Linked DNA regions of Drosophila melanogaster. The gene in region 1 interacts genetically with each later gene. Each region holds a gene or a part of one and is shown on either strand. Other genes may lie near its edges. The genes, in order: hkb, klar and eg.

The links.
Region 2: of hkb (region 1) and klar, changing one suppresses a phenotype caused by changing the other (phenotypic suppression), as found in Drosophila melanogaster (one study listed by BioGRID).
Region 3: of hkb (region 1) and eg, changing one suppresses a phenotype caused by changing the other (phenotypic suppression), as found in Drosophila melanogaster (one study listed by BioGRID).

Annotation. Positions count from the first base shown.
Region 1 is NT_033777.3:4,342,894-4,348,939, reverse strand, and holds hkb (huckebein), read left to right. Parts: upstream 1-2,293; 5' UTR 2,294-2,436; coding exon 2,437-3,091; intron 3,092-3,156; coding exon 3,157-3,395; 3' UTR 3,396-3,925; downstream 3,926-6,046.
Region 2 is NT_037436.4:536,153-543,295, forward strand, and holds the start of klar (klarsicht), read right to left. Parts: upstream 4,463-7,143; 5' UTR 3,747-4,462; intron 1-3,746. Other genes in the region: BORCS6 (BLOC-1 related complex subunit 6), read left to right, coding at 4,889-5,276, 5,333-5,807, 5,865-5,910; Cypl (Cyclophilin-like), read right to left, coding at 6,078-6,525, 6,618-6,700.
Region 3 is NT_037436.4:21,806,189-21,813,157, reverse strand, and holds the start of eg (eagle), read right to left. Parts: upstream 4,456-6,969; 5' UTR 4,354-4,455; intron 4,320-4,353; exon of another isoform or gene 3,921-4,319; intron 154-3,920; exon of another isoform or gene 73-153; coding exon of another isoform or gene 1-72. Other genes in the region: CG43895 (uncharacterized protein), read left to right, coding at 1-72.

The DNA.
Region 1 (6,046 bases):
CATCCTATATCAACAATTCACGTACTTTCCTCATATGTGGCGTGTCCCAGCTCGAGCGCATGTGAAATTTCCTAATTAATCCAAATATGAATATTACGTCGTGTTCTTATCTCGGGTGTATATCCCGTCAGGTATTGGACAGTGCAGCTAATCGTTACAGGCAATCCTGCCATTCCATGAATGAATTCACGTTCGCTGGCCGAGTGGTTACCATATCTAATTATTTTATAACTTCCTTTCATACCGGTTATGAGTGCCGCATTGTCCTAGGTAGGTTGCAGTTTACGACCCGTCGGGCTGTGAGACGATTGCGTGGAAATACCGGCGCTCATTACTTTAAGAATCTACTGCGGAAAATCCCAGGCTGCTGCAAGCCCAAGTCCAAACCTACGCAAATAAGCTAGTGAATTTTACAGTATCACCACCCTCAAGCCAGCCCAATCGGCTATCTACCTGCCACCCGACCACCAAGGGATCTATCCAGATCACAGGATCGTCCCTGCTCACGGCAATCCCAGTTTATGAATGAATTTACTAAATGAGCTCAGTCGTGAATGAAATGTTCTCCGCGGACCGCGTTTTATGGACGGTTCTACATATACATAGGTACTAACAAACCCACAACAACCCAGCCATGCCGCTGCACTCATTAGCATTGGTCGAACAATGCAGTTGGACGTAATCCCAATGATTTCCCTTTTGTTCTAAATGGCAGGACAGGGGCATAAGGCGCTAGGCCTGCGGAATGCACCTTCCCTAGAAAGCAGATATCTTTTAGGAAGTTATTATCGCTTTGGTCCGATGACAGCAGTTTTATACTCTTTTAAAAAACAACAAAACGAAAATATTTCGTTCAATTCCGCAAATCTTTCTTTTAATTCTAGCAGCAAACATTTTTATGATTATATGCTGTATCCGTCGTCTCTTGATTAGAATTAGAATTTGATTTCGAAATTATTTCAGGTATCTGTCGAAGAATATAGAGGTATATAATACATTTGGCTGCAAAAATAGGAGGCATATATTCATAATTTAGAGAAGGCTTACTTCCAATGCTTGTTGACTAGAAAATAAGATTGAACTCAGAACACTACTAATCCTATCGTGGGAATCCTTAGAGGGTATGTATTAATATTAAGTACCATTTTCCCTTTAAACTCAAATTCATACAGAAAATTGGAGTGGAAAGTAAACGCAACAGCAATTTGTAGCGGCTACCAATGCATGCGAAAAACTTGTGAACTTAAACACGAACTCTTAAAGCCAATATCGCCTTCTAAATTAAAACATTAGGTGTAGCAACGCACATTCAGCCAAAGTATGTTGTATCTGTTCTCGTAGTCTGCAGCCAGAATCGCGTTAGGGCAAACGCCTCCACGAGCCAGTAAAGTTTTTCTCAAGCACCCCCAGAGATAAAGATAAAGTTTAGGCGAACTGTACCAACTGAACAACACGCTCAAGCCTGGCAATCTCTGCAAATCCTGCCCAGCTGCTTGGCCCGCACTTTGCATATTCGTGATGTCGCGGAGCCACCCTCGAACAAGCACTTAATTTAATAATAAATTGCTGCCACATCGGGCACAGGAAACCCGAACCGCAGATAACCGAATTATACATTTGGAGAAGTATCTGTGTCTGGACGGAGGGAAGGAGGAGGAAACTGTGACTGGGAATGGGTATAAGATTGGGAGTGGGATTGGGATTGGGAGAGTGGGCCAAGCCAAGCCCAAAGCCAACCACCCGGGAATCATGGTCGGTGGGTGGGTGTGAGTACAATTCATAACATAACCGTGAAACGCAAATGCTCTGCTAAAGTTGCGCCCAAATCGGAGGCACCGCGCTGCTGGGATCGCCTGGGCCCAGTATATGTAGTACGGAGTGGAAAGAGTAGAAAGCGCAAGTTAGGAAAGCTGCCCGCCACTCGGTCGGGAGTTCGATTTTCCGGACCGGGAAAACTACGCAGGACTACACGCACACACCAGCGCCTTATATACTTCAGCTGCGAGTGTGTGTGCGAGCGGGCCGCCATTGTTGTGCCCTCGAAACCGAACCGAACCGAATCCGTGCCCGTTTCTGAAAGCGAAACCCACCCCGAAGCATCCCTCTCGCTCGCACATCCTCAGACAGACAAATAATCGATGAATGAAGCGACCCTCAGTGTGCGTGTGCGTGTGCGGGTGAGTGTGTATGTGTGTGCGCGTGTGTGTGAACGCAGGACGAATGACTGCCTGGGTATACGAAGTGTAGGTAGCCAGAGTCCTGGGTTTAAATTGAGAGGCGTCGGGGCAGGAGAGCTCAGTTCGAGTCGAGATCTCGCAGCACACACACAGCTCCGCACAACCAAATCAAGTCCAAAATCATAATCACAAGTGTTCCATCCAAGTGATTTAGTGTCGCGAGAGAGCAATTTAGACCTTCCATTAAAACTACTGCAAAATGTCGACGATTAACCTGCATCCCCCGCAAACCTACTCGCGACTTTTCCGACCCTGGGATACTCAGCGCCAGGCGGCGACCTCGGCGGCACCCAGGACAGTGAAGCAGGAGCCGGAGGCGATTACCATCAAGACGGAGCTGGCCAGCAGCAGTTTCGGCCACGACTGCGACGGAGACTTCTCCTCCGCATCCTCCTCTGCGTCAAGCAGCAGCAACAGCAGCAAGTCCTGCTACGAGGAGGCCCTGAACCACAGCAGCTACACCCGCACTTCCACCCCGCTGCTGGACGCCGCCCCGCACCCCGTCTTTTCACACCCGCAGTCGTCGCCGTTGGACACGCACGCCGCCGCCACCGCATCCTTGGCTCCGCCAAACCAGCACGCTCCATTCCTGTCGGCCGCCAGCGATCTCTACTACGCTGCCGCCGCCGCAGCAGCCGCTGCTGCCTCCACGCCCACTGCCGTCCCGGGCTTCGGCATGGACCCGTTCACTATGGGCCTGATGGAGCAAGAGTACGCCCGCGTGATGGCCGAGGACGCACAGTTAAAGGCGCTCAACAGCCGCAAGCAGCGGCCGAAGAAGTTCAAGTGCCCCAACTGCGACGTGGCCTTCTCCAACAACGGCCAGCTGAAGGGCCACATCCGCATCCACACCGGTAAGTCGACCAGAACACATCTGACCCCGAGAGTCCCACTCACTTATCTCCATTCTGTTCTGCAGGCGAACGCCCATTTAAGTGCGACGTGAACACATGCGGCAAGACCTTCACCCGCAATGAGGAACTGACGCGTCACAAGCGAATCCACACCGGACTGCGGCCGTATCCTTGCAGTGCCTGCGGAAAGAAGTTTGGCCGACGCGACCACTTAAAGAAGCACATGAAGACGCACATGCCGCAGGAGCGCCAGCTGGGCCCGTCCATCTTCGTGCCCATGTACTCATACCTTTATGGCTACTGAGAGGGAAATCCTGGCGAGCTTTCCCCTTGCCACGCGACCCTGCATTCCAGCGATCTGTAAAGCGCTTGCACGCTTTAAACAAGCATTACCGAACCGAATCCAACGAAACGAAACTTAACGCCAGCAAAAACTGCCTAGCCAATCGTGGACAGAACTACCTCAGCCGTACCTGGCGCAATGTGGCGCACTCACCAAACCCAATCTTTGGACCTCGACGATATATGCAAATATTGAGATATTTATTTTTTAACGCGTATTTACACTTCCAGCTACGTGACTGGTTATGATATTCGGCACATGTGTAAATAATCCCTAAGTGATCCTTCCTCATATGCTAAGCGATTAAGAAATTTAAGAGATGCCCGGATTTACGTCTAAGTTATACTAAAGCTGATACTTTAACAGTTTTATAAGCTGATCGTGGTTACCAGATACATACGATTTATACACAAAATTATACGATCATGGTTATATCTGAGAGTTGAATTATACGATTTATGTTTACAACACAAAATACACAAGAAAAACCGTACAAGAAAGACCTTTATTACCTGGGCGGTGTTAGAAATGAGGAGAAATGTACATAGAACTTGCAATTTTGTTCCCCAATGATTAAATGCATAGTTCCATTACGAGTATACGAGGAGCTAAAAACCAAGAACCATTACCTTTACATGTTAATGATCCACTGTCACTTCCCGTTAACCAGATCGTGCGACAAACCGCTCGTCATGCCGCCAATATCAAAGGCAAATCGGAAAATCGCATTTGAACTGTCATAAAAGGATTAAAAGGCACAAGTCATTTGGTCCGAATCTATCCAAATTTCATTCACAAATTACCCAAAATGAAACAGCACCCCAGACAAGCTGAAACCGACCAAGCCGCGATAATGAGCAGCGCCAAAACTAAGGGAAAAGTGCATTCGTGTCGCTGGCAATCTTTCCCACAGTCCTCTTTCGGTCCAGATGTGCCCACGTAAATTCGCCATTACTCAGCTGACAGCTTGCGTCATTCATTAGGACAATAAAGTGGTTCACCTGAGCAAAGAGACCTAGACACAGTGTCTGCGACAAGTCGAAAAATTACCTATGTGTTTTTGTTTGGAATTCGTTGTTCGAACAGCAATCGATTCCTGGTCACTATCAATGGCACTTCTAAAAGCGGACAATAGGTGCAGTTTATGAAAGCGGATCTAGGTGGACACCCAGCTTCCCGGACAATCGAAAATTTGTCCGCTTGATAGGGGCGTGCAGTCCTTACATTACGTGTCCCCTACCTGCTTATTGTTTTTCTCGGGCCTGAGAATATTTTCATATCGGCCAGACAGTGCGACGTCGTTCACATCGCACAAGTGACACAATGATCTATGCCGTCTCCATTCGATCCTTTACAATTGCGACTATTTGCTCCAGATACACAGTGCACCTAAAACTTCTTGAGACCACTCTCTGCAACAAGTTCAAACAATCATTTTTCAAGATGCGTGATAGTTGGCAATTAACAAGCGGGCAGTTTGGATTGATCGACGAGGGCATTCGGCAACCATGGGATTCCTAACCTAAAACGCATACATGTTCTTGACCAGATTCACTTGCCGATCCTCTCTAGGCATGTTTATCCGTCAATACAAACGTCGAAATCACTGAGCCCGAAAGAAGTAGAAGGTTTATGGAATCATGATACTATTTTTGAGTTTTTTTATTAATGAATACAATAATGTATGTGGACTTTAGTCATATCATATCATATATCAAGAAGTAGGCCATTTCGATATGGTGTTTTATTTATATGTAACAAACATACCCGTATTTCTAGTGAGCACAACGCTGATAATAACCAAATCGCAATTTCACATTTTAAAATTGATAAAAACGCAGAACTGAAATAGTGGTCAAAAATAAAACTTTACAAAAAGAAAGCTGAAACACCCGTGTAGAAATGATACGTTAAGAAAAAAACAATGAAGATACATTTTCATGTTTTATATACCATACCGTTACTAGGTTTAAGTTTTCCATATGGTGAATGAATATGTCATTTTACCCGTTACTCGTAGAGTTAAAGGGTATACTAGATTCGTTGTAAGTAGTACGTAACATGCAGAAGGAAGCGTTTTGGGCCATATAAAGTATATATGTATATATACTGTTGATCAGGATGAATAGCCGAGTTAAACTGGCCACGTCTGTCTGTCAGTCCGTATGAACGTTGAGATTTCAAGAACTATAAAAGCAAGAAGGTTGATATTAAGCATACAGATTATAAAGACAAGGACGCATCGCAAGCTTGTTGACACACGTTGCCACGCCCCTTTTAAAGCCCAGAACTGCCACGACCACACTTTTGAAAAATGATTTGATATTTTTAAGGACAGACTTGTAAATTTTTATAGACATTCCAAAAAAATTGCCACGCCCATTCTAACGCCGACAAGCTCCCCAAGCCCTGTTACGCCCCCACTTTTCAAAAAGGTTATGATCTGTTTTCATATTTTTAATAGTCTTGTAAATTTATATCGTTTTTATAAAGTAACATTTTGCTTTTTGTTTTTGGCTGTTTTTATGCAGCAATGTGGTTTTGTGCTCCGATCTGGCCCGTTCCGACTTATATACTACTAGCAATAAGAAAAAGACTTTTGGGAAAAGAGA
Region 2 (7,143 bases), on another chromosome or scaffold:
AATGGCTTAAACTTGTAGAGAATCCTAAACCGCTTAGTGAATAAGTCAAACGAGATCTGAGGACTTCTCCCCGAGACACACCTCTACTTATTCTCCATCGAGAAACGCTGAAAAATGCGAAACTATTTAAACAACAACATGCGAACCGGTTCCCAATGAATTTGCTGAATAAATTTGGTGTGTTTGTCTACCGAATTCAAGGTTAATTTCAAATGCAAAATAATCAAAGCTGATACCAACAAATTAGACTTCCGAACAAAAAACTTCGTTTGCTGCTAGAAAAGATGGAAATTAATTAGCGACCGTCTGGTGATTGACTTCAGCAGCTGACACAGTGGCCAAATGAGATTTTCGTTTACAGATAGTTTGACATAATTTGTAGGAGTGCCTTTCCTACCCGCCCCCTCCAGAAAGAAACATGCAACAAACAGTTGCATGTTCGTGTGCGTCAAAAGAAGCTGAGGAGAAAAACACAAACTCGATGCGGAAATGCAGATAAAAAATCAAAGAGCCGGGTAAAATTGAGAGAAAAACCTTTGGAAAATTAATGAGCTGCAAACAATGCGGACATCGTTAAGGGGAAAAGATTTATTCGGGAAAACAAATAGGAGAAGGCAGAAGACGACGGAGCGAGGTCAATATTTGGACACCAAAAATACAGAAAAAAGGAAAAGTTGCGCGCCGGGAAAAGGGAAAGGGGAAATGCTCATCTCAAGTTGATCAACAAATTGAAAGACCCTGATGATTCAGATGATTCACGTCGATCAGATGCACATTCGATTATCGAAAGCAATCAAAACCAAATCAAACAGGTGCTGAATACAACATATAGTTTAGGTTTGATATTGAATTTCTCCAAAGCATGCCTTCAAAATCTATTTACGTGGCCACAAAAAACTATTTCTCAATGGGGAAAAACCAAAACAAGGCAACAGCTAAAGCAAAAAAACAAAAATTACCAGGTAAACGATTCGCTTTTCATTTTACACCTTCCACAAAACACAGCCATCAAACGGCACCTCCCCTTTGACCCTCCTCGCTTAACCCATCATTTTCCGCTGGCTGTAAACAAATCAGAAGGAGGTCAATCCATATTGGCGGAATAAGTGGAACAAACAACAATATACAATGTATAATAGAACTCCAGTTCTTTGGAGATGAAATGTTTACGGAACTTTGACAGGCGTTTGCGAAATCCCAAAGCAAAGTGAGCTCACTTAGGGAAAATCAGATGAAGATCTCGGAAAGATTTCCGCCATCATTGCGCAATTTCTTTGTGGAAAACATTGCGGAATAAATTCGAGCATACATAAGAAACTGTTAATTAAAAGGGGTTTGGGGTGGGGAATTCCAGATGAGATGATCTCATCTGTAAAAGTTGCTCAGCGAAGCAAGTGAATCAATGATCAGAAATGCTGTAATTAAACTGGCGAGCAAGAATGAAGACCAACATCGCTTACATCGGGTGGAAATTTAAAGTCTAGGGGGTGAACGAACACCAGTATAACAGTCAGTATATAACATATAACACCTTCAAAATGCAGGGGATGAATTCCGAGAAGGGTGTGCATTAATGTAAGCATCAGAAATGAGGGCGAATAATGCAAGATAAATAACAAAAGCGTGCCACAGAAGTTATATTAAAAGTGGGTGTGAATAAAATGTCAGTTACAAAATTGTAATTTTTGGTTTTAGAGTAATTCGTACCTACTATTAAGTATACTATTTGTTCAATACTGCTTTCCAAGACCTTTTTACTATTCAGAAGAAAAGAACCCCAAATGTTCATAAATTCATTTGCACTTTTGAAGTTCCCTACCCAAATTAGTTCCAAATTGAGAAGACAATGACTGTAGAGATGATCAGGCAAAAAGTTTGTATGCCGAGTTTTTTTATTTTTAGAGAACAAGAGTTGAAAGAATTTTCCTGACCTCAATTTGGCTTACAAAAAATTTTAAGAAAACAGTTAGAGGAAAGTGGAATTATACACAATTGTGTTAATCGAACTCGAACATTAGGAGATTAGATATTGACAATCATTCTTTGGGATTGATTTTTCGTTTCCTTTATGAATTCAATAATTTTCAACTTCCTTCTGGATGATTTGTATTTATTTCTTCATTACTTTCCCGCCATTTGAGAGCCGCTAAGAGTGTGGGAGAGATTTGGGCCTAAAAACTCGTTGATATTTCGCTTATTTTCGAGTCTTCGGTTAGGCAATTTGGCTCCAAAGTGACCTAAACCGACCCACTGCTAATGAGCCATTAACACGCTTATCTCGGAGGAGAAGGAAACATGGCTTAAAGACCGACCAGACCTGGCCAAAATTGGCCACGCACATGAGATGGGATTTTGACATATTGGGACTTCAGGTCTTTGGCCCAAAGAGACTCGGCACGTGAGCGTTAAAGCCAAAACACTTTGGGGTTAAGCTGGGGAAAATGAAAATGAAAGAGCAGGCGGCGCGCGAGTGGAAAATAATAGGAATTTCCTCAATTAGATTTCCTAGTCGCTGACCCCAAACCGGGCACGATGTACTGGAAAGTCGAAGGAAAAGCGGGGGAAAGACGAATGCAAATCGCATTAGGACGCGCGTTTAATCTGCTCCAAGGCATCGCCTTAACCCCGCCCCGAGGAAAATGGGGAAACCCACGAGAGGGGAGGGTGGGAAATCTAGGAAGAGGGCACCAGTAAAATGTTGCAGTAAACGATTTTCCATTTCCCGCTGGGTCAGCGGGTCATCGAGTGGGCGAGCGGGAAAACGCGAGATGAATGCAATATGGAAATCAATAAATAAAAACAGCATTTTCATTTAAGTGCTCGACGAGGAAATGGTTGTGGGAAAAGGCCAGAGAAAACCCCGTTCAAGTGTCGCCCATGAAAATGGAAAATCTTTCTTCGATGCGATGTAAATAAACAGTAAGAGTGCGACAACATTTGTTTATAGAAATGGAATGGAATTTAAAGTGCGAAATAGGGAAATACTTAACAAAACAAGGATCCAGAAATTGAGTTCTTTTATTTTCGACCAACTTGCTTGTTTTTCCTATTGGATTTAGACGTTTAAAAATACATTTTTTTACAGAATATAAAAGTTAGAAGCTAATTATCGAGTAATTCCTTTCTCCTGATTCATCACATGCTTTTCTTGTCCACATATCAATCCACTTTTCCATATTATCGATGCCAAAATAAACGATTGATTGATTGATTGAAAAATCAACCCACGCATTTTAATAAAAACAACAACAATTCAAATGTGCAGTTACACACACATAACTAAAAGGGAAGAGAGTGGAAAGCCGAAAGAGAAGAAGAGCGAGAGAGAGCAAATATTATCGCAGTTATTACGAAATCGCAATCGAAACATAACGGTAGATATAGATAGGAAAAGCACCAATACAATAAAGCGAATATAACCGCTAGAGGAAGAGGGGAAGAAGTGGGTGGGTGAAAAAGAAAGATCGCTGTCTCTTTCTCGCTCTCATACTTGCTGACTGCACAATTTGCAGTTAAAAGAAAGAAGCAGAACGGCCTGAGAAGAAAGACAAAGCATAAGAGTAACTGGCCAAGAAGAAGAAAAGAACAAGAAGTCAAGAACAAAATAGAAGAGAGCACACACACACACACATTCGTACGTACCCGTAGAAAACAGAGAAGGCAAAAAAGTCTTTCCTTTTTTTTACACTTTTATCCATTTTCAGTTGCATTTTATAAGATTCTTTAGTACAAACAATTTAACTTACTTGCTTTTTTTAGCAGCCACGCATGCGTCGAATGGGAATTTATGCTCCTTGAGACTCCAATTGGAATTTGTACCCCGGCTGCAAACAGTTTTTTTTTCTCTCTTGCTTTATTTCCACACTGCACACATACACATATGCAGCGGCACATACACACAAGTGCACGCACTGCAGTCGATTTTGTTTTTTTTGCATAAAACTTTATTTCATGTATGCCACTTGTACATTGTTTGTCACCAATTTGCGTATTTTGTACATCAAATTTTATTTTACTTTTCGTTGCCTTCCTTATTATTTTCCTAATCTTCACATGCACTTTTTTAGCGACGCCAACACACACATTTGCACACGCACACACATGGCGAGGATGAGAGAGGAGAAAGAGAGCAAAACACCGTTTTCGTTGCTTCCTTTTCGCTTATTCCTCTTTAGCCGCTTCTTTTCGATTCTGGCTCTTTTTGGCACTTTTAGCCCCAAGTTGCTAGCAATTCACTTAGCGTACGAGCACTAACAATTAAAACGAATAAGACTCGAAAAATACGATGGAAACGCGAACATATAAACAAAAATCTACATTGGTTTTATTGCAGCGCTACGCAGGTGTGTTTTTACGCGCTCATCGCGCAATTAAATTAGAACGCTGCAGATTTACTTAGTTCACTCCAGTCTGCCCAATGCGCGCCGCACACCTCGGAGCCGCAAATTATAAACACGACTGTCTTCGATTTAACGGGCTGGCCTATCGGTCCTATCGATGACTCGATAGTGCGAGCTGGAGTGTGACCATTTCTTGGTAAAAGCAAAATCGTGAAGAGTAAGTGTGCGATACTATCGAACTGTCATATACTCAACCAAATAACATCTGAAATCTGTTTCTCACTAAAACCGAAATTTCCATCAGGGTTAGGAAAATATAGTTTACGCACATCAAGTTGCATAGGTCAATCCTACGTAAAAAAGGCTCGATATAGGTAAGGTGGACCTCAGCCTGAACAGGGCCTAATGCAAATACATTCGATAAATAGATGTTATCGATAACCATTTGGTATATACCAGTAAATGCTTTGTTTTGGTTTTCATTCAGAAAATTGACATACATTTCTTAGTCTGCCTAAAGTTCCTTGGATTGAAAAGAGCAGTGCAGAATGTCGCACCGCCACCAGGACATTCCCATCCGCCCACGTTACGGTTATGTGGCCGAGGAGAGTGGCCCATCGGAAGGGGCAGCCAGGAGTTCTGGATCCGGAGCCACGCCCGCCTCCTCCTACACGGAAATTCCGTTCCTGGCTCAGTATCCGGGAGCGGTGCCAGAGCACGTGCTCCAGGATCTGACGCCCACAGCCACTGGCCATGCTGCGATTCCCGGAAGCACAAAGACAAGACCCAACGGCGAGAAATACCTTAACCTGGATTCGGGCGAGGATCCCGACGAGGAAGACGATCCCTTGGAGGAGGAGGACAACAGCAACTCGAATAGCAACTCTAAGGGCAGTTCCGGCGACATCGAAAGGCACAGACTGAAGGCAGAGAGCAGTGGGTTCTAGGTTATCTACCCATAGTTCCTGACTAAAGCATCTTCCTTCTTTCAGCTGTGCCCTACGAGCTGGACGGCGAAACCAGTGACTCCGACGGGATGCGCCACTTTGTGGCCCACGATCTAGAGGCCAAGTTGCGCGAGCGCGTGGCGGCTTCGGCCTACTCCTCGGAGCACACCACGCCCCTGAGCTCCATGGGTCCCATTGGAGCCACTTCCGGCAACGGTCTGCTCACGCGGCGGTTCCTGCAGTCGCGCAACATTCCCGAAGTGGACGGCAGCGTCTTGAGCGACATCGAACTGGAGGCTCAGTACTTGGCCAGCTCGGTGGACAATCTGATGGAAAACCTGGGCAACCTGCTGCACTCAATCTCCTCCATAACGGCCGACAACGTGGAGGTCCATCGCAACGCGGTCAACAAGCTGACGGACACTTTGGACGCGAATATCAAGTGCCAGTACCAATTGCTGGCCAAGGCGGAGGAAATCACCAAGTCGATGAAACCCACAGAGCAGCTGGGTCAGCGCATGTAAGTGGGTCAATTCAAGACAGATCCCTTTAGTGTAATGGACTTTCTCTTCCGCAGAAGGCAGATCAAGCGGCTGGTGGACATGTTGGACAGCACCATGTAAAATAGGGCTACGCTATCCTGTGATCAACCAATCAAAGAGATCTTGTCTTTCTAGTCATTCCGTAAATACATATAATCAGTGTTATAAAATCCATATGGAAAGATACCTTTCGCTTGTTTAAATCGTACTTATTCTAGCAGTTCCTCCAAAAAATCCACCTCCTTGGCTCACAGCTTCTCCACCTTGGCCTTGATGATCCTTAGGGGATCCACGGGGCGATCGTTCTTGTCGGTTTCCACCATGCCGATCCGCTTGACCACCTCCATGCCCGTGTAGACCCTGCCGAAGATCGTGTGCTTGCCATCCAGCCACTGCGTGGGCGCCAGCGTGATGAAGAACTGGGACCCGTTGGTGTCCGGTCCAGAGTTGGCCATCGAGAGGATGCCCGCGCCCGTGTGCCTCAAGTCGCCGTGCAGCTCGTCCGCGAACTCCGATCCGTAGATGGAGGCGCCTCCGCGGCCAGTGCCCGTGGGATCGCCGCCCTGGATCATGAAGTCCCTGATGATCCGGTGGAACACCACGTTGTTGTAGTAGCCCCTTCTCGAGAGTTCGGCAAAGTTGCGGCAGGTGTTGGGCGCGTGTTTCCAGTACAGCTCCACGGTGATTTCTCCCATGCTGCGCGGGGCACAAATGCCACAAATAATGTGATAAACAAATGCTCAGTCTTCAGTTTCGGCGATTATCGAGCATTCAAGCTCCGGACTCACCTCGTTTCCAGGGTCACGAAGTGCGGCTGCCACGCCTTGTCGGGAATGCCACCAGCATTGTTGGGATCGCTTAGGGACAGCATAACTATATTTGTTGTTAAATTAGCGAGACTTCAGTAAAATTGTTAAAACCGGCAGAGTCAGAGTGACCAGCTTAAGCGTAGTCACTTAGGCCGCCTGGCAACCCTGAACTGCTGCGGTATACTTCTGGTATATATATAGTATAGTATATAGACGCACCTTGGTATTTTTTAGGGTTTTTGTGAGCACACGCAAGGGTATTTTTCAATTAGTTCCATTTCAAAATTCGACGAAAAAATCGTGGAAAATATTTAGCGGACGGAATTTTTCGTCGGGCTCGCGAGAAAAGAGACAGATAATAAGAGTGAGTGCGTGAGCGTGAGTGAGACAACGCGAAAAGTTAGAGAGGATCGGAATCATGGCGAGTGTTTTTTTATAATCAAATTTCCACAGCACTTTCCACGTATAGTTGTTAATGAAGCAAAAAGTAAGCGAAATATGAAAA
Region 3 (6,969 bases), on another chromosome or scaffold:
CCCCTCTCCCTTTTCCCGGGAAGACTCTTTCACACATCTAATGCAATGTACTACAGTGACTTGTTTTGCTAGCCCATAAAGCCTAAGGTCAAGCGAGAAAAGATACGGCGAAGCGCAAATAAAATATCTGCGAAAATCTTGCGTCAACTACTTAAAGAGCATGAAGAATCCGAGGGAGGGATCAATTTTGTCATGGATATACAATATAAATTCTTAAACACATTTGTGCGCTAATAATGTATTCCATGGAGGCCTTAGCTGCCACTTTTGGGGAAATACGGGCCACAAATGGCCAGACTTCTTCGTCCATAACTTGTATAGTTTATTATATTATAATATAGTATAGTATATTATTTTATGATGAAGAAACAGAAACATATAAACTGTTTAAGAGATAATATATATAATAAATAAATCGTGAAGTCCAATACAAGGATAATAAAATTATATGAACTATGTGATCAAGCAATTCAAAAACAAATGGTAGGATAATGAAATTTAACTTTTACTTGTTAGTCGTCAGAAGGGAAATTTTAAATAATTAATTACATTTATACAGAACCTTTTTAAAGAGAGAAACATTTATTTAAAAAAAAAAAGTAAAACGGATACATTTTTGATTAAATCTGATTATTCTTTTTAGTATTGTTACTGTTATTATTATTATTATTATTATTATTATTATTATTATTATTATTATTATTATTATTATTATTATTATTATTATTATTATTATTATTATTATTATTATTATTATTGTTATTATTATAATTATTATTATTATTATTATTATTATTATTATTATTATCATTAATATTATTATTAATATAATATTATATATTATATATTATATAATATAATATTAATATTATAAATATTATTATTATTATTATTATTGTTCTTATTATTATTATTATTATTATTATAATTATTATTGTTATTATTAATATTATTATTATTATCATTATTTTTATTAATATTATAATAAGAATAATTAATATTTTTATTATTTTAAGTATTGTTATCATAAATAAAAATCAAGTATTTACGTGCGGCTCTGTAACCATCAGGATCTTCGTAATTCTCGTTGGCCCTTTTGAGAACCAGAACTGCCACAGAACGCCCTGACTCCCTCCAATGACAGCCAGCTAGCAAGCTTAAGTGCTCCCCAGAGTTTTCCCAGTCTGGATATTTTCCGGACCAGGGATGCAAGTGGCAGGGAGCTGCTCCGCGAAATGCGCCCAGCAGGTGGTGTGGCCACAACGTGATGCTGCTTCTGTGATAATGGTTGGCCCCGTCCAAAGCCCGCCGGCTGCCAGATCCGGAGCTGGCCTGCCAATGCTCGGCACTTTGCATATAAACGCTCGCTAATGGACACCAAAGGTGACAGCAGAGCGCTGCTAAATTGGCAAACATTAAATTTGCACCTTCACAGCAAGCGAGCCATCGACCGCGAAACCGTGACAATTTTCGGCACAGCGGTGCACTTTTTCAGAAAGCAGGAAAATCATCGAGGAGATCTTCCATCTCTGGGTCCCAAAGACTCAGAACCGCAGTTCGTGGTGGAGCTGGAGTGGTAAGCCAGATTGCACTCAGCTAGAAAGAAGATCTCTGAATGGAGGAGTTTTGGGGAAATGGATTCATAAGCATCGTGTTAGCCGAAAAATGAGTATAATTACATCAAATAGGTGCATTTACCTTCGACATTGGGAACAACCTATATTACTGCTGCACTGCTTTCATAAATAAGCACTCATAAAACTAAATATTTATGCACTTAATATGCATAGAAGTGCTGTAAATTGCAATACATCTCGCCGTACCTGAACTTCGTAGATAAAGAACCAAAAAGTCAAAAATCATTTCGATCCTTATTGAGAAACCCGATTGAAATCCAATTGAGCGGCACGCTCGAGCTATAAACTTGCAGATCCCTATCCGCAGGCGGCATCTCAATCTTTTTGGCTTTATCACGACGACAACGACCAAGGCCACTGATCCACGTAACCGGGCGCATATTTGAGAGTCTTGTTCTTGGGGCATCTTTAGGACCCCTTTAAGTCAGCGCATAGAAGTAGTAGATGTCATGGAGGAGTACATAATTCCCATGCTTCGAGCTAATTACAAGTCCTCAAGCCGAGCCCAAATTTAAGGTGAATGCAATGCTTAGGTCCGATGGCCAGTTCGATTTGTGGGAAAACAATGAGTAGACGAGAGTTGTGCCAAAGACATTCTAGTGTCTTTGGTTGTGCCAATTCGAAATATTTGACTCTGCAGGTTCCTTTCAAATTTAAAAACAGAATCCCCATTGTTCATTTCTGAGTGTATATCGAACCGAACAGATCAGACCAGATATAGGAACGATCTTGGCTGTCAGACTTATCGATTAAGCCAAGATTAATGTTACACATTGGGCAGAAACAGACAATTAATTAGAAACCTAAACTGCTACAGAAACTACAACTGTATATTGATCGCAAGCCAAGTGGAGGAGATTGTTCGGATCTAATCTATGGAGATCTGCAGATGAACTCGATGGGGACAAGTTCAGAGCGGCTTAGACAATAAGAACCAGATCAGTTGGTCGCTGCCACATTCTCAACAAGCTCATCAACTCGCTGTTGACAGAGCTGAAAAAAAGTGGGCAGAACGTTGGACTTCTCTCAATAGGAATAATAAACAAGGTCCCAAAAAAATGTGTCCTTTAAAGCAAACAAAATGATGGACAATGCCAAATCTGATAAAGGCAACAGAGGGAGAAAAGGTGTTCAAACAAGCAAACCACGATTGTCTCAAATATTTTGAAGCCGCTACAAAATAGAACAAGAATCAAGAACACAGCCCACTGAACCGAACCCCGGAGCATTGACACAATCTGCAATCCAAATCCAAGTCCAAGCCCTAACCCAAACCCAAACCCAAGCCCAAACCCTTCCTACACCCGAATCGCCTTCCATCTCGCGCACAATTGCCGGTAATATGCTTTATTATTAGCCCTGCCAACCACTGGAGACGGACATTCGCAGTATGCAAATCCACTCAGCAGTCACACGCTCTAGTTTGAATTGTCTGCTTCCGCAATTCTTGATCTGCGATCCTCCATCCTCCATCCTCCATCCTCCATCCTCCATCCTCCATCCTCCATCCTCCATCCTCCATCCTTGATCCTTCTTCCTTCGCGATCGAGGATCCACGATCCAGTCGCTTCAGGCTGCCCCTGGCCCTTTTCTGCTTGATTGCCGACAGCAGTTGGACAATTAAATGTTTGAATATCTCCCATCTTTGTCCATTCGCAGCCCCTATTGTAGAAATTTCTTGACACTTATCGCACAAAAGGCAATAACATTATTAATGAGCATGTCAATGAGCTTCTTTTGTCTTCACCATTACACTTTTTCTGGTTCTCCTTGGTCCTCCTTAGTGGTGTGAGTACGAACTCATGGGAGTTAAGCTTGGTCCTTGATAGCTGGGGATAGTTGGGCCATTTCTTCGCAACAGATTTGTCTTTTTATTGTTGGTTTTTTGTTTTGATTTTAATAGTTTGTACTAAGTATTTCAATTATTGCTAAAAATATTATTAAATTGTATAATTTCAGTCTTTAATTGGTTTGGTTTTTATAATGCAATTGTTTTCGGTATTAATCTTTTATTTGCGATTTATTTTGACTTACAACAACCATCCGACAAATTTATGGAAATTATGCAAAATGGTTTTTATTCAATTAAGCCTTTAATATATATATTGCTTGTATTTATCTATTGTTTTAGCGTTTGAATTATGTGTCCAGCATCTCAACTTGTTGTTGTCTCATTAATTCAATGAATAAATGTTTTATTTATTCTCTTAATATGTTTTGTTTGTCAGCAGGGAGACTTAGCCATTTTTTAATAGCATAAGCTCATATACAACAAAATCTTACCTTTTCCAGATCATATATTTCCACAACAGCATAAATTCGATGTTTTTACCAACTCACTATTTATTTATTTTTTCCTCTTTAGATGTTAATTTTTCCAGTTTTTTTTTTAACTTCACACACTGGGATACGTTTGAATGAAAATCAACTGATTATATCAAACACACTCTTCACATGACACCTTAAATCCGAATTATCGCTGATGATATAGCGACGGCTTTCGAAGGAGATTTCAGCAATCACGTGGCGCACATAGTGCCGAAAAACTTCGCGATCGGTCGGATATAATGCGATTGCGAGAGCGAGAGAACAGCGAAAGCCTGACTGACGGTGCTTGGCAGCGTAGCGTCCATCCGAGACTAAATCGTCGCCGTCGTTCTGAGCGCCAAACAGACTCGAACTGGCAGCGCGGCCCTGGCCTCAAAGATCATCTTACCCCAGCAGCAGCAGCATCTGCAGCGCGGCAGCACGAACAGCAGCACTAACAGCAACAGCAGCGGCAACAAGACAACAAAGCGCACGCGTCGCTAGATTGTGTGCGTGCGTTTGCAACAGTGGCAGGGCACGGCGAAACTTAACTGTTAATCGGCGGCCGTCGCTGCAGGAAATCCTGTTTGGCAAACAGCTGCTGTGGCGAATGGTGCGCGTGCTCCGTTCTGCCGGTTTAACAGCAATGTTATGGCGGTAAGATCTGTTGACTGAACTGTTAACGAAACAAGATTTGTTATTTTCGGGAGAATTTTAAAACAATTATATTAAATATATATTATTAAATAATATATTAAAGATATTATTGACAAGTTAGTACCCTGAAAAAATGCAGTTTTTTGTTTCTACAACGCTAACTGAAATAAGTCAAAACGCATTTATGTATATTAAGAGTGCTAACATTTTTCTCCAAGTGCACCCTGCTACCGACCTCGCTTCGAACATGTTTGCTGTACGTTTCCAGCTCGGTTCGCGACTCTCCGCTCTCCGTAAATGTTAAAGCGTCGCATCTTCTGAGAGCTGAACTGTGGTTGGCTGTTGGCACCGGCACGATCTCCAAGCGTTTCGTTCGTTTCCATTGAATACTGTGTCGATGCGGTTGGCTGTTGGCTGATGTCTTTTTACCCCCGTTTGACTCTACACACGGTACTGTTATCATTTGAGTGTATTGGCCGCGAGAGTGTTGGCCCTGGTTTGCTTCGTTGTGCATGTGCATCCAATTGAACTCGTATTGGACGACTAATGTGGCAAGGAGGTGGGCACTTAATGCCCGGCGATCAGTGTAAACAAACATTGGGAGAAACCAAGAAAACATCAGAGGTTATTTGTGGCTTGACCTGCAAAATGGAGAAAACAAGTTCGCCTCCCTAGTCTTTCGTATATTTAAATATTTTTATGTGAATCTTTGTCGGATTGATAACGATTGGAGATGACCACATGGAAAACATATGCATAGATGTTGGTTTATTCTATCTGGGGGCACTGCAGAATTCTTTTAGGTTGAATACAAAATTCTGCCACTAATGGTATATATAAAGCTATATTCTTGTGAGCGTAAATAAAATAAAAGTTGCATGAGATTGTTTAACAAGGAATCAATTTTATTAGGGCTAAATGGTATCCATTTAAATACATTCGATACGGTACTTCAACAACAATTGCAAAATAATCAATGCTAGTTCTGTGCTGCTTAAATCGGATTGCCACCAGGCGCAAAATTGCCAGTGGAACAATCAACGCGTTTCCATATGTCTAATTGAATTCTCCTGTCATAAGCATGATCAGATGACTGCCTTCGTGCGCCGAGATGCCCACTAAAGTGATCCCCGGGCATTTGACCAGTCGTTGTCTGTCCCTCCATCTCAACTCATCTCAGCTCAGACTTAGACTCAGGCTCAGGCTCAGGCTCAGACTCCCGGCTTCTGTCACTTGGTGATGATGATGATTTCATTTTAATAACACCACTGGACGGAAGAAGAGTGCCACGGCGGAGATCGTTTAATACTCTGCATTCGCCGCGGCCGTGTCAACACCACTTGACGGAGTAACAAGGAAGCGCAACACTCTAAAACGACGTGTAATTTATCACAGCCAAAAGCATTTAGCCATGAACTGGAACGGAGACTCCGATTGCGACTGCAACTGAATCTGGCTAGTTTCTTGGAGTAGTTTCCTCTGGCTCTGCCTGTCAGTATAGTTGTCGTCATAATCTGCCAAGTGGCGATGCAGCTCCTGGAGCTGCTGCGGTGCAATTTGGTCGTCATATTAAAATTTCTTCAGCTCGTGGGCAATCTGAAATTTTCCCTCCGCTCTCTCCAAATTTTTAATTAAGTTTGGGCCTTGGCAACGGGCGCATGCGTATCTCGCCTGCTTGCGTGCTCATCTCTCAACTCGGTGATGAGTTGGGGCATTAGCTTAGATGGCTGCCCATATTTATTAGAGCGCAATCTGCCTCAAATTGTGGCCACTTGAAGCGATACGGAGCGGAGAGCAAGAAACTTTAATCTAATTATGAACAGAGTTGGTTGGCTTACTTTCAAGACGGACTTAAACAAATTGTACTCAGGATATAGAATTTCCCGAATTTTAATTCTATCAATAAGAGATTTGGAAGATATACTTTTTAAATCACTTTTAAAATTAACTAAATCGCTAGGAAATTGTAAATGCCAATGATGCACCAAATCTTCAACAAGTAATTGTTTTTTTGTTTTTGGCAAGTTCATATTGTTGTTAGTTAAGCTTTACACAAATTTAATTTAAATTTATTACTTACATTTTAAAGTTTTCTATTTAAATAAAGCTTAAGGATCAACTCAGTAAAGTGACTTTTTCCCACTACAAATTTTCAGTGAAAACTTCAGTCAAGCCAATCGGAGATTGGCAAACACTTGAACAGGTCTGTTTTGTGCGCTGGCATGGCCAAATACAAATTGGCCATGGCCAAAAAACCAGACGAATCTGCGAAAGAAATCGCTGCGAGGCACACACAAAATAGGCGACAAATCTTCCAAAGCTGACTTGAGGCCGGAATGCCAGAGGATTGAAGACATTTGGCGACATG